Canis lupus familiaris: one gene and its partner. Each later gene encodes a partner of the first gene's protein in a complex. Links are inferred from orthologs where the notes say so. Each region holds a gene or a part of one and is shown in the gene's direction. Other genes may lie near its edges. The genes, in order: FAM98B and ZBTB8OS.

Region 1 (3,817 bases):
ACTTCAGTTTTTCCCTTCCCCCAGCCCCTGAAAACCACCATTCTCCTCTGTGCTTTGTGAGTTTGACTGTGTTAGGCTCCTCATAAAAGTGATATCACATAGTATTTGGCCTTCTGTGTTTGGCTTATTTTACTTTGCATAATGTCTTCCAGGTGCATCCATGTAGTCACGGCTGGGTTTCCTTTTTTAAGGCGGAATAATACTCCATTGTGTGTATATACCACATTTTCTTCATCTGTTGAAGGGCACTATGTCCTACTACAAAGGGATAGCAGTGCAAATCTCTTTGAAATCCTGATTTCAAGTCCTTTGGATATATACCTAAAAGTGGATTTTTAAGTTCTTTTATATTTTAACAGTATATTTTTCCCTTTTTTATCATAGTATTTTTAAGTACAGAGCTTCAAGCTTCACAGATACTGCAGAATAAGAAACGTAAAAATTCTCAATTAGATAAAAACAGTGAAATTTATCAAGAAGTTCAAGCTATCTGTGATACTCTTGGTGTACCCAAGTCAGCAACTTCTGACATTCCGCTTATGCTAAACCAAGTGGAATCAAAGGTACTGTATTTATTTTTTTTGTTTCCTCAAAATGGAATTAAATACTAACATATAAATAAATATTGTATTAAAAATGAAAATATTTCCTTTAAGGTACGTTCCATTTCAAGAGAACTTTATCTTCTGTTAACTAAATTTTGGATTTTGAATTAATATGCATGTGACTTAATTTGCCTATAGCTAATGTTCAGGAATCTGATCTTAATGAGTGAGGGCCCTTAGACTTTTTTGAGTTTTCTTTGATAGAAATCACTTTGCAAGTTAAAGGATCCCTTTCCTAAATAAAGTTCTACTGTAGTATAATGAAAGAAGTAGAGTAATCTTCAAAGTCAAAGGCAAACTATATTTTTTAAAAAAGAATATTGTTAAAAAAAAAGAATATTGTTAATAGAATTGTAATATGGCTGTCTTTGGCAGTGAGCAAGCACAGTTTCTAGTGGATAGGTGTTTAGTAAGTGTTCGTTGTTTAGAGATTGAATGAATGAGTACCCTGCTGTAGTTAGAAACAACCACAAACTATAAACTTTTTGAAATTTTCTCTTTAGTTCTTAAACTACCCTTCTTGACTGTTGAGCCACTAATAAATTAGAGAGAATGCTACTCTTGCACACCAAATTCAGCCTGGTTCCTAGGAGTCCTCTAGGAGAATAATACAGGATTCATTTTAAAGGAAAACATTCTTGCTCTTAAGAATATGTACTAAAAGCCATTTTTAGACATGCTGTGTTATACAAAATCCTTAAATAAAATACTTGTGCTTTGATAATTTATGAACTGAAAAATAAAAAGCTTTGTCTTCATTGAACATAAGAGAATTTTGGTATCATTAAAATGAAAACACAGTTTAAAAAACATTTTTTCTTTTTGTGGAACCTGCAGACCAAAGAAAAATTCTGTGAATTGCCCAAAAACATTGTTCTGGAATTAACAAGTTTCTCTTCAGTACTTATTTTCTCTTTTTGTCTGGATTAAGAATGATCTGGGATTGGCTAAATTGTCTGGGGTAATTTCAAATTAAGACAGATTTCTAGGCTCTTTCTAATCTTCCAGTGCTTCTATATATTGATCCTAAAGAGGCTTTTCCTTTTTATGGGTCTCAGTATTAAAAATATCTCCAAACCTCTGGTTTGCCTACCTGAAGTAGGCCATAATGCCTGTGTTCAAATGCTGGCAGGTTAATTATAAGATAGTTGTTACTATGGTCATTGTGGCCAAATACTTACCTAAAAAGGTTTTTTTTCTCCCCTCAGTTCCTATCAAAAGGAGAAATTTCCTTATTGTACATGTGATGTGTTCAGAATACACTTTGTCATCATTTGGGAAGAAAATTATTTTTTAACTTGAAGGTGTTCAAATGTGAATCTAATGTAATTATAGTAATATTAGTGGCAGAAATATGGTATTTGCTGTTCTAAATATTTATATGTAATAACTTTTAATTCTTCCATCATATATATTTATGTATGATTAGGTAGTTACTACTATTATCTTCAACAGACATATGAGGAGACTGAGGTACTGAAAGATTTAATAAATGGGACAAGTATGTTTTGGAGTAGTAGTGGTAGACTTGAGATTTGAATATAGGCAACCTCCAGAGTGTGTGCCTTTAGCCCTCTCTATTTGAGTTTAATTCTCAAACTTACTAAAACTTGTCCAATGTTGAAATCCTGGGAATGGAGCTGGATGTGATTATGTGTAAGAAACTGTAAGTATGCCTTCAGAATCCTTCTTGAGTGAGGGGTTACAACTCATACTTTTAGTAATATATGAAATGATCAAAGTTGGAGGTATGTACAATAGTTGGGAAATCTACAGAAATTGAATATCTTAAAATAATAACAATATGTGAGAATTGTATCATTGTTGAACAGGCTGACTTGGCCACGAAACTAATAAAACTTAAGCTTTGGGCCACTCATTTGCAGGAGTTCTTTCCAAGCTAATTAAAAAAAAAAAAATACAGCTTTCTGAAGATAGAGTTCACATATCATAAAATTCACACACAAAATAGATAAATTTTAGTATTTTTAAATTATATTTAGTATATTTAGAGAGTACAGCCATCATCCAAATTGAATTTTAGAACATTTCCATCACCCTCAAAAGAAACCTTATGCTCATTTATAGTCACTCACCATCACCACCACCAGTTTCTAAGCTAATTTTGTGGTCAGTTTTTTGTTTTTTTTTTTTTTAAGATTTTATTTATTTATTCATGAGAGACACAGAGGAAGAGGCAGAGACACAGGTAGGGGGAGAAGCAGGCTCCCTGCGGGGAGCTGCATGTGGGACTCGATCCTGGGATCATGCCCTGGGCCAAAGGCAGACGCTTAACCGCTGAGCCACCCAGGCGTCCCTGTGGTCACAATTTTTAATTCTTAAAGAGTGCTCCTGACATTAAATAAGCTTCATGTTCCTCAAAAATCTCTTGATTATTTTCCCTAGTTACCTTATAACTAAGCAACTGTAGATAGGCCATTGGCCATTTGGCTTTGAAATTGCCTTTAGATAATCAAGTTACTTCTGTTAGGAGGGTGAGCCCAACTTAGGCTATCATTTCTCAGTCATTTTCTTCAGGATAAATTACTGTTATTGGAATGGCTGATATCGTGAAAGCAAAGACAAATGTCTAATATCTTTTTCACTAAAATAAAAGTGTTGGCAGTAATTCAAATTAGTGGCTTTGGAAAAGTAATGAAATGTGTATGTGGTGGCTATAATTTAGAGGGCTTGCTTTCCTGTTGTCTTGCTGAACAGTGGAATCAGAATGCTTAGAATTGGAATGTGTATAAGAGTGTGGATAAGAGTGTGCCATTTCAAGGAGAAATTCCCAAAATTATTTTACATAAGTCTGTACAGATTTTCATAGTAAAACCTTTCAGTAACTACTTTCTATACTCATCTGTGTACATTATTTCTTACTCTGGAAAAGGTGTGCTATAGTTTGAATTCATATAGCTAATGCTTCTTTGAAAAAGATACTCTTCATTGTGGTGATATTCTTTCCTGGTATGTGAAGTTATATTTCAGTTATTTCACTTTAACATTTAAAACAACATGTTAAGAAAGAATAAGATTATTTAATTAGATATATACATTTTCACAATCTTCTATATTTACTTTTAGGTGAAAGATATTCTCTCAAAAGTCCAGAAAAATCATGTGGGAAAACCACTGCTGAAAATTGATTTAAATCTGGAACAAGCGGTAAATTCTCTCCCTTTATTAGTTTTATGTAATTAAATTAGTGA
Region 2 (4,429 bases), on another chromosome or scaffold:
TTATAGCACCTAGCAGACTAAACAAATGGAAAGTAAATTAAGTACTATTAAGCTTACCTTCTTAGAGGTAAGCTTGTCACATTTAAGACCTTCCCTACATGTGATTTCTCTCTCACTATGCATAATTCCCTTATATAAAACCCCCAAACCACCCCATCTTCAGTTCTTAGTTCTAAATATCCTAAGTATCTCTGTAAAACTGCTTTTAGCATAGGTTACTGTAATTATTAGTTTACATGGGCCTCAATTACACTTGTGCTCCTTGAAGGCAGGTACCATGTCATATACCTCTTTATATTAACCAGCTACTACCTACAATTCAAATATTTTGCTGAAAGAACTGAAATCATAGCTTTTTTTGAAAACTGACACATTTTACATTATTTTCCAACTGTAATTATAACAGGCTATTCAATTCGTTATCAGGAAAAGAAAACAAGTTTTCTCTTATCAGGTACATTGCAAAACTATTTTTACATTTTGTATTATTTTTTGGCCTAGGAAAAAAACATCACCCATAGGTTATCATTACGTGCCCTCTTCGGGTGACTGGGGGAAGACACGGAAAAATCAACGTGAGAAATCAACGCTGAGGAGGACACAAGATAACGTTCAAGAGATTCACATCACCTGGTTACATCTGGAAGCCACTGTGCAGTTAGGCTAGGCCACTCCAGAGCATGGGTCATCACCAAATCGTAAAGAAAAGGGGTGTTCTTTTTCCATATTTTGTACTCTTCGTTGATCACACGTTCCTCTACTGCGTCATCAAAGGCTGCTAAAAAGTTAAAAAACAAATTAAGTTAGCGAACACAAATGGAAACCGAGCCAACGCTTCCAAAGCTACCGGCACTGCTTATTAAGTCAAGATTCTGAAATGGAGCAGATATGTCTAAATGTCCCCGAGGCGGAGCGACCTGCACCCCTCCCCGCCTCGCGGGCCCGCAATTACTCTCGGGCTAGCGGGGCGCGTCACTCCCGTTAGCTGTTCGGGCGCCGGCGCCGGGCCTCGGGAGCACGCTCGCGTTCCCGCTGAATCGACGGAACCCGCGCGGAGGCCCGCGCACCGGCCCCCGGGGTAGGGAGCAGCGCACGCAGAACGCGAGAGGCGGGCAGGCCGACAGCGAGCGCGGGGAGGGCCCAAACACCCGCCGGGGCCCCCCCACCAGCTCCACACCGCGGCCACCGGCCTCCGTGTCGGAGGAACTGGCGCGCCGTTAGCCCGCCCGCGGGGCGATTTCTCCTCACGCCTTCGATGGTGGGGACAGCACTCAAGAGTCGGGCTTGCCTTCACTGCTAGGCCCTGTCGAGGCCGCGGCGCCAGCCCGGCACCCCCCGCCCTCCCGGGGCGGCCCTTACCTTCCTTGTCGGCCATGGCGGGCAGGCGAGCCGGGGGGATCCCGGGGTCGAGCGCTGCGGGAGGGGCGGGGAGGCTACAGGCGCTCGCTCTGCGCGCGCGGCCTCTATTGTTTCCTGCTGCCCCTGCGTGAGGGCCTACTCGCGCACCTTCGCGCCAACACCGGCCAATCGCAGCGTCCCGAACGGCGGGGTGGGCGGGGAAGCCGCGTTTGCAGCCTATCCAGACGCGCAGAGTCGCTTTCTGCGGTGCCGAGGTGCGCGCCCCTCCCCTGCCCCGACACGGCCGGGAGCCGACTTCCTACGATTGCGCGCGCGCGGACCCGGTGGGAGTGCGCGCGTCGGGTCACGTGAGAGGTTTAGTCCGCACTCTCCAGGGGGCAGCCATTTTCTTAAAAGCTGTGCAGCTCCCGACACTTTAAAAGTACTCAGATGAGAAATCTAGGGTGGCTTCGGGTGTAGTTATCGACTCTGTGAGGTAAAAAGAAAAGGCTTCTCACCACCCAGACAAGCGGGTATTTAGTTCTAAAGTGTCTCCCTCCTCCCACGTCCTCCAGTGTGTATGTTTCCTTTGTTCTTAGAACGGATGAAGAAACGCAGAAATAGGGCCGAAGCCTATTAAAGATGTGCTTCCGGCAGCGAGTCCTAGGACAGAAGTGTTAACCATATAAAGTCTATCTGCGAGAATGGGGTCCTGGTGCTTTAAGGGCGCGTGCCAAGGGGCGGAGTCTAGAGCGGAAGTTGTAAATCAGGGCTGAAGTCCAGCTAATGAAGGGCGGAAGTAGAGTGTCCAGTGCGGCAATTATGGCGCAGGAAGAGGAAGATATTCGAGATTACAATTTGACTGAAGAGCAGAAGGCGATCAAGGCCAAGTATCCTCCAGCCATTCGGAAGTACGAGTGTGAGTAGATGGCTCACTTCTCTCATGCCCTTTCGCCTTGCCCAGGTCTTCCGGTCTCGCCTTCCGCTTTGCCCCTGAGGTGCTTCAGCCGGGAGTGCTGAAGGGAACAGCCACCTGGCCTGAGAGTCAGAAAACTGGGCTGCCACTTTTATGGTTCCTTGAATTCTTTCTACATTTACCTAGTCCCATTACCTCGTGGGAATTTTACCAGTGTCTTCATTCTAAAGATAAACGTATTTTCAAGCATTTGCCGGGTGGTCGCCCGTATGTGTTTCCCAACAGTGGGGTGGTTAGAGTATCATTAGGTTAGAGGACTTAGCTGAGTAGGGGACATGTAATTTGGTGTTTTACCTGGATCGTGCTTTTAGTAAAAAGACCTGGTTTGGGGATGCCTGGGTGGCTCAGCGGTTGGGCGTCTGCCTTCAACCCAGGGCGTGATCCCGGGATTCGGGATTAAGCCCCGCCTCCGGCTCCTGCGAGGAGTCGCTTCTCTTCTGTGTCTCTCGTGAAGAAATAAATAAAATCTTTAAAAAAAAAAAAAAAAAAAAAAAGACCTGGTTTTGCCATGAACAGCTTCATAACTTGTGGCAAGTTATATAATCTCTCATGGCACCATAGTTCCTTAACTGGGGAGTAAATGAGATAATAGTAAACACAAAAGTATAGTACATATTCTGATCTTCTATTTAAACATTTAGCTATCATCCCTAAAGATTGCTATGGTTTGCGGAGCACAAATCTGACTTCTATTTTTCTACTCTAAAATCTTATTAATTTTCCATTGTTCTCTGTAGTTTATTTACTATGGCATACTAGGTTATGAATGAACCCTTTTATTTTTCTCATAAAAGCAAATTTTTAAAAAGATTTTATTTGGAACAGAAAGAGCACGTGGATGGGGAGAAGAGAATGGGGGAGGGGTAGATGGAGAGGGAGAAGCAGACTCCCCACTGAGCAGGAAGGCCTAGGCAAGCATGAGAGGACCCCTAGATCATGACTTGAGCCAAAGGCAGATGCCCCTTAACAACAATTTTTTAAAATTATTTTTATTTTTTAAAATTTTTTAAAGATTTATTTATTTATTTATGATGGACATAGAGAGAGAGAGAGAGAGGCAGAGATACAGGAGGAGGGAGAAGCAGGCTCCATGCCGGGAGCCTGACGCGGGACTCGATCCCGGGACTCCAGGATTGCGCCCTGGGCCAAAGGCAGGCGCCAAACCGCTGAGCCACCCAGGGATCCCCTAAAAATTATTTTTAATAAGGCTTGTATCTGATATATCTGAATAAAAAAGTACAACAGGTGGGATCCCTGTTCCGCATTCATTGTTTTGCACACGTACAGGTGTATCTATAAATTTACAGAAGTTAAACTGCTTTGTCAAAGGATATGTGCATTGTTAATCTTTTTTTTTTAAGATTTTATTTATTTATTCATAGAGACACAGAGAGAGAATGAGAGGCAGCAGAGACACAGGCAGAGGGAGAAGCAGGCTCCATGCAGAGAGCCTGACTTGGGACTCGATCCAGGGTCTCCAGGATCACACCCTGGGCTGCAGGCGGCGCTAAACCGCTGCGCCACCAGGGCTGCCCTGCATTGTTAATCTTAGCAGTTATTGCTAAATTGATCTCCAATGAGGTTGTGCCAGTTTATACTCTGACTAGCATTGTATGAGTGTGCCTCTTTCCGCACATTTCTACCTATTTGCTGCATAACCATACTTTTGGGTCTCTTCCCTTTTTTTTTTTTTAAGATTTATTTATTTACTTATTTATGATAGACATAGAGAAAGAGAGAGAGAGGCAGAGATACAGGAGGAGGGAGAAGCAGGCTCCATGCCAGGAGCCCGACATGGGACTCGATCCCGGAACTCCAGGATCACGCTCTGGGCCAAAGGCAGGCACTAAACCGCTGAACCACCCAGGGATCCCCTTTTGGGTCTCTTCCAATTTAAATATCTTGTCATATTAGTTGCTTTCTTTTTATTATAAGTGAGGTTGAACATATTTCCGTATGTGTGGAGCTATTTGTATGTGCCCTTCTAGGATGTGTATGTTCATATTCTTAACCCATTTTTCTGTTGGGTTTTTTGTTTTGTTTTTTACTTTGTAGAAATTTAGTTTTACATAGTGAAATTTATTAACCCTTTAAAGGCTTCTGGGAATTTATACT

The links.
Region 2: FAM98B (region 1) and ZBTB8OS share a complex: the UniProt entries of both Homo sapiens proteins name them as parts of the tRNA-splicing ligase complex. The link is inferred for Canis lupus familiaris from reciprocal best matches to the Homo sapiens genes FAM98B and ZBTB8OS.

What each region holds. Positions count from the first base shown.
Region 1 is NC_049251.1:6,097,102-6,100,918, forward strand, and holds part of FAM98B (protein FAM98B), read left to right. Parts: intron 1-384; coding exon 385-563; intron 564-3,692; coding exon 3,693-3,773; intron 3,774-3,817. UniProt on the Homo sapiens protein: Positively stimulates PRMT1-induced protein arginine dimethylated arginine methylation.
Region 2 is NC_049223.1:68,053,043-68,057,471, forward strand, and holds the start of ZBTB8OS (protein archease), read left to right. Parts: upstream 1-1,498; 5' UTR 1,499-1,613; intron 1,614-1,673; exon of another isoform or gene 1,674-1,937; 5' UTR 1,938-2,124; coding exon 2,125-2,257; intron 2,258-4,429. Other genes in the region: histone-binding protein RBBP4, read right to left, coding at 631-778, 1,360-1,375. UniProt on the Homo sapiens protein: Component of the tRNA-splicing ligase complex required to facilitate the enzymatic turnover of catalytic subunit RTCB. Together with DDX1, acts by facilitating the guanylylation of RTCB, a key intermediate step in tRNA ligation.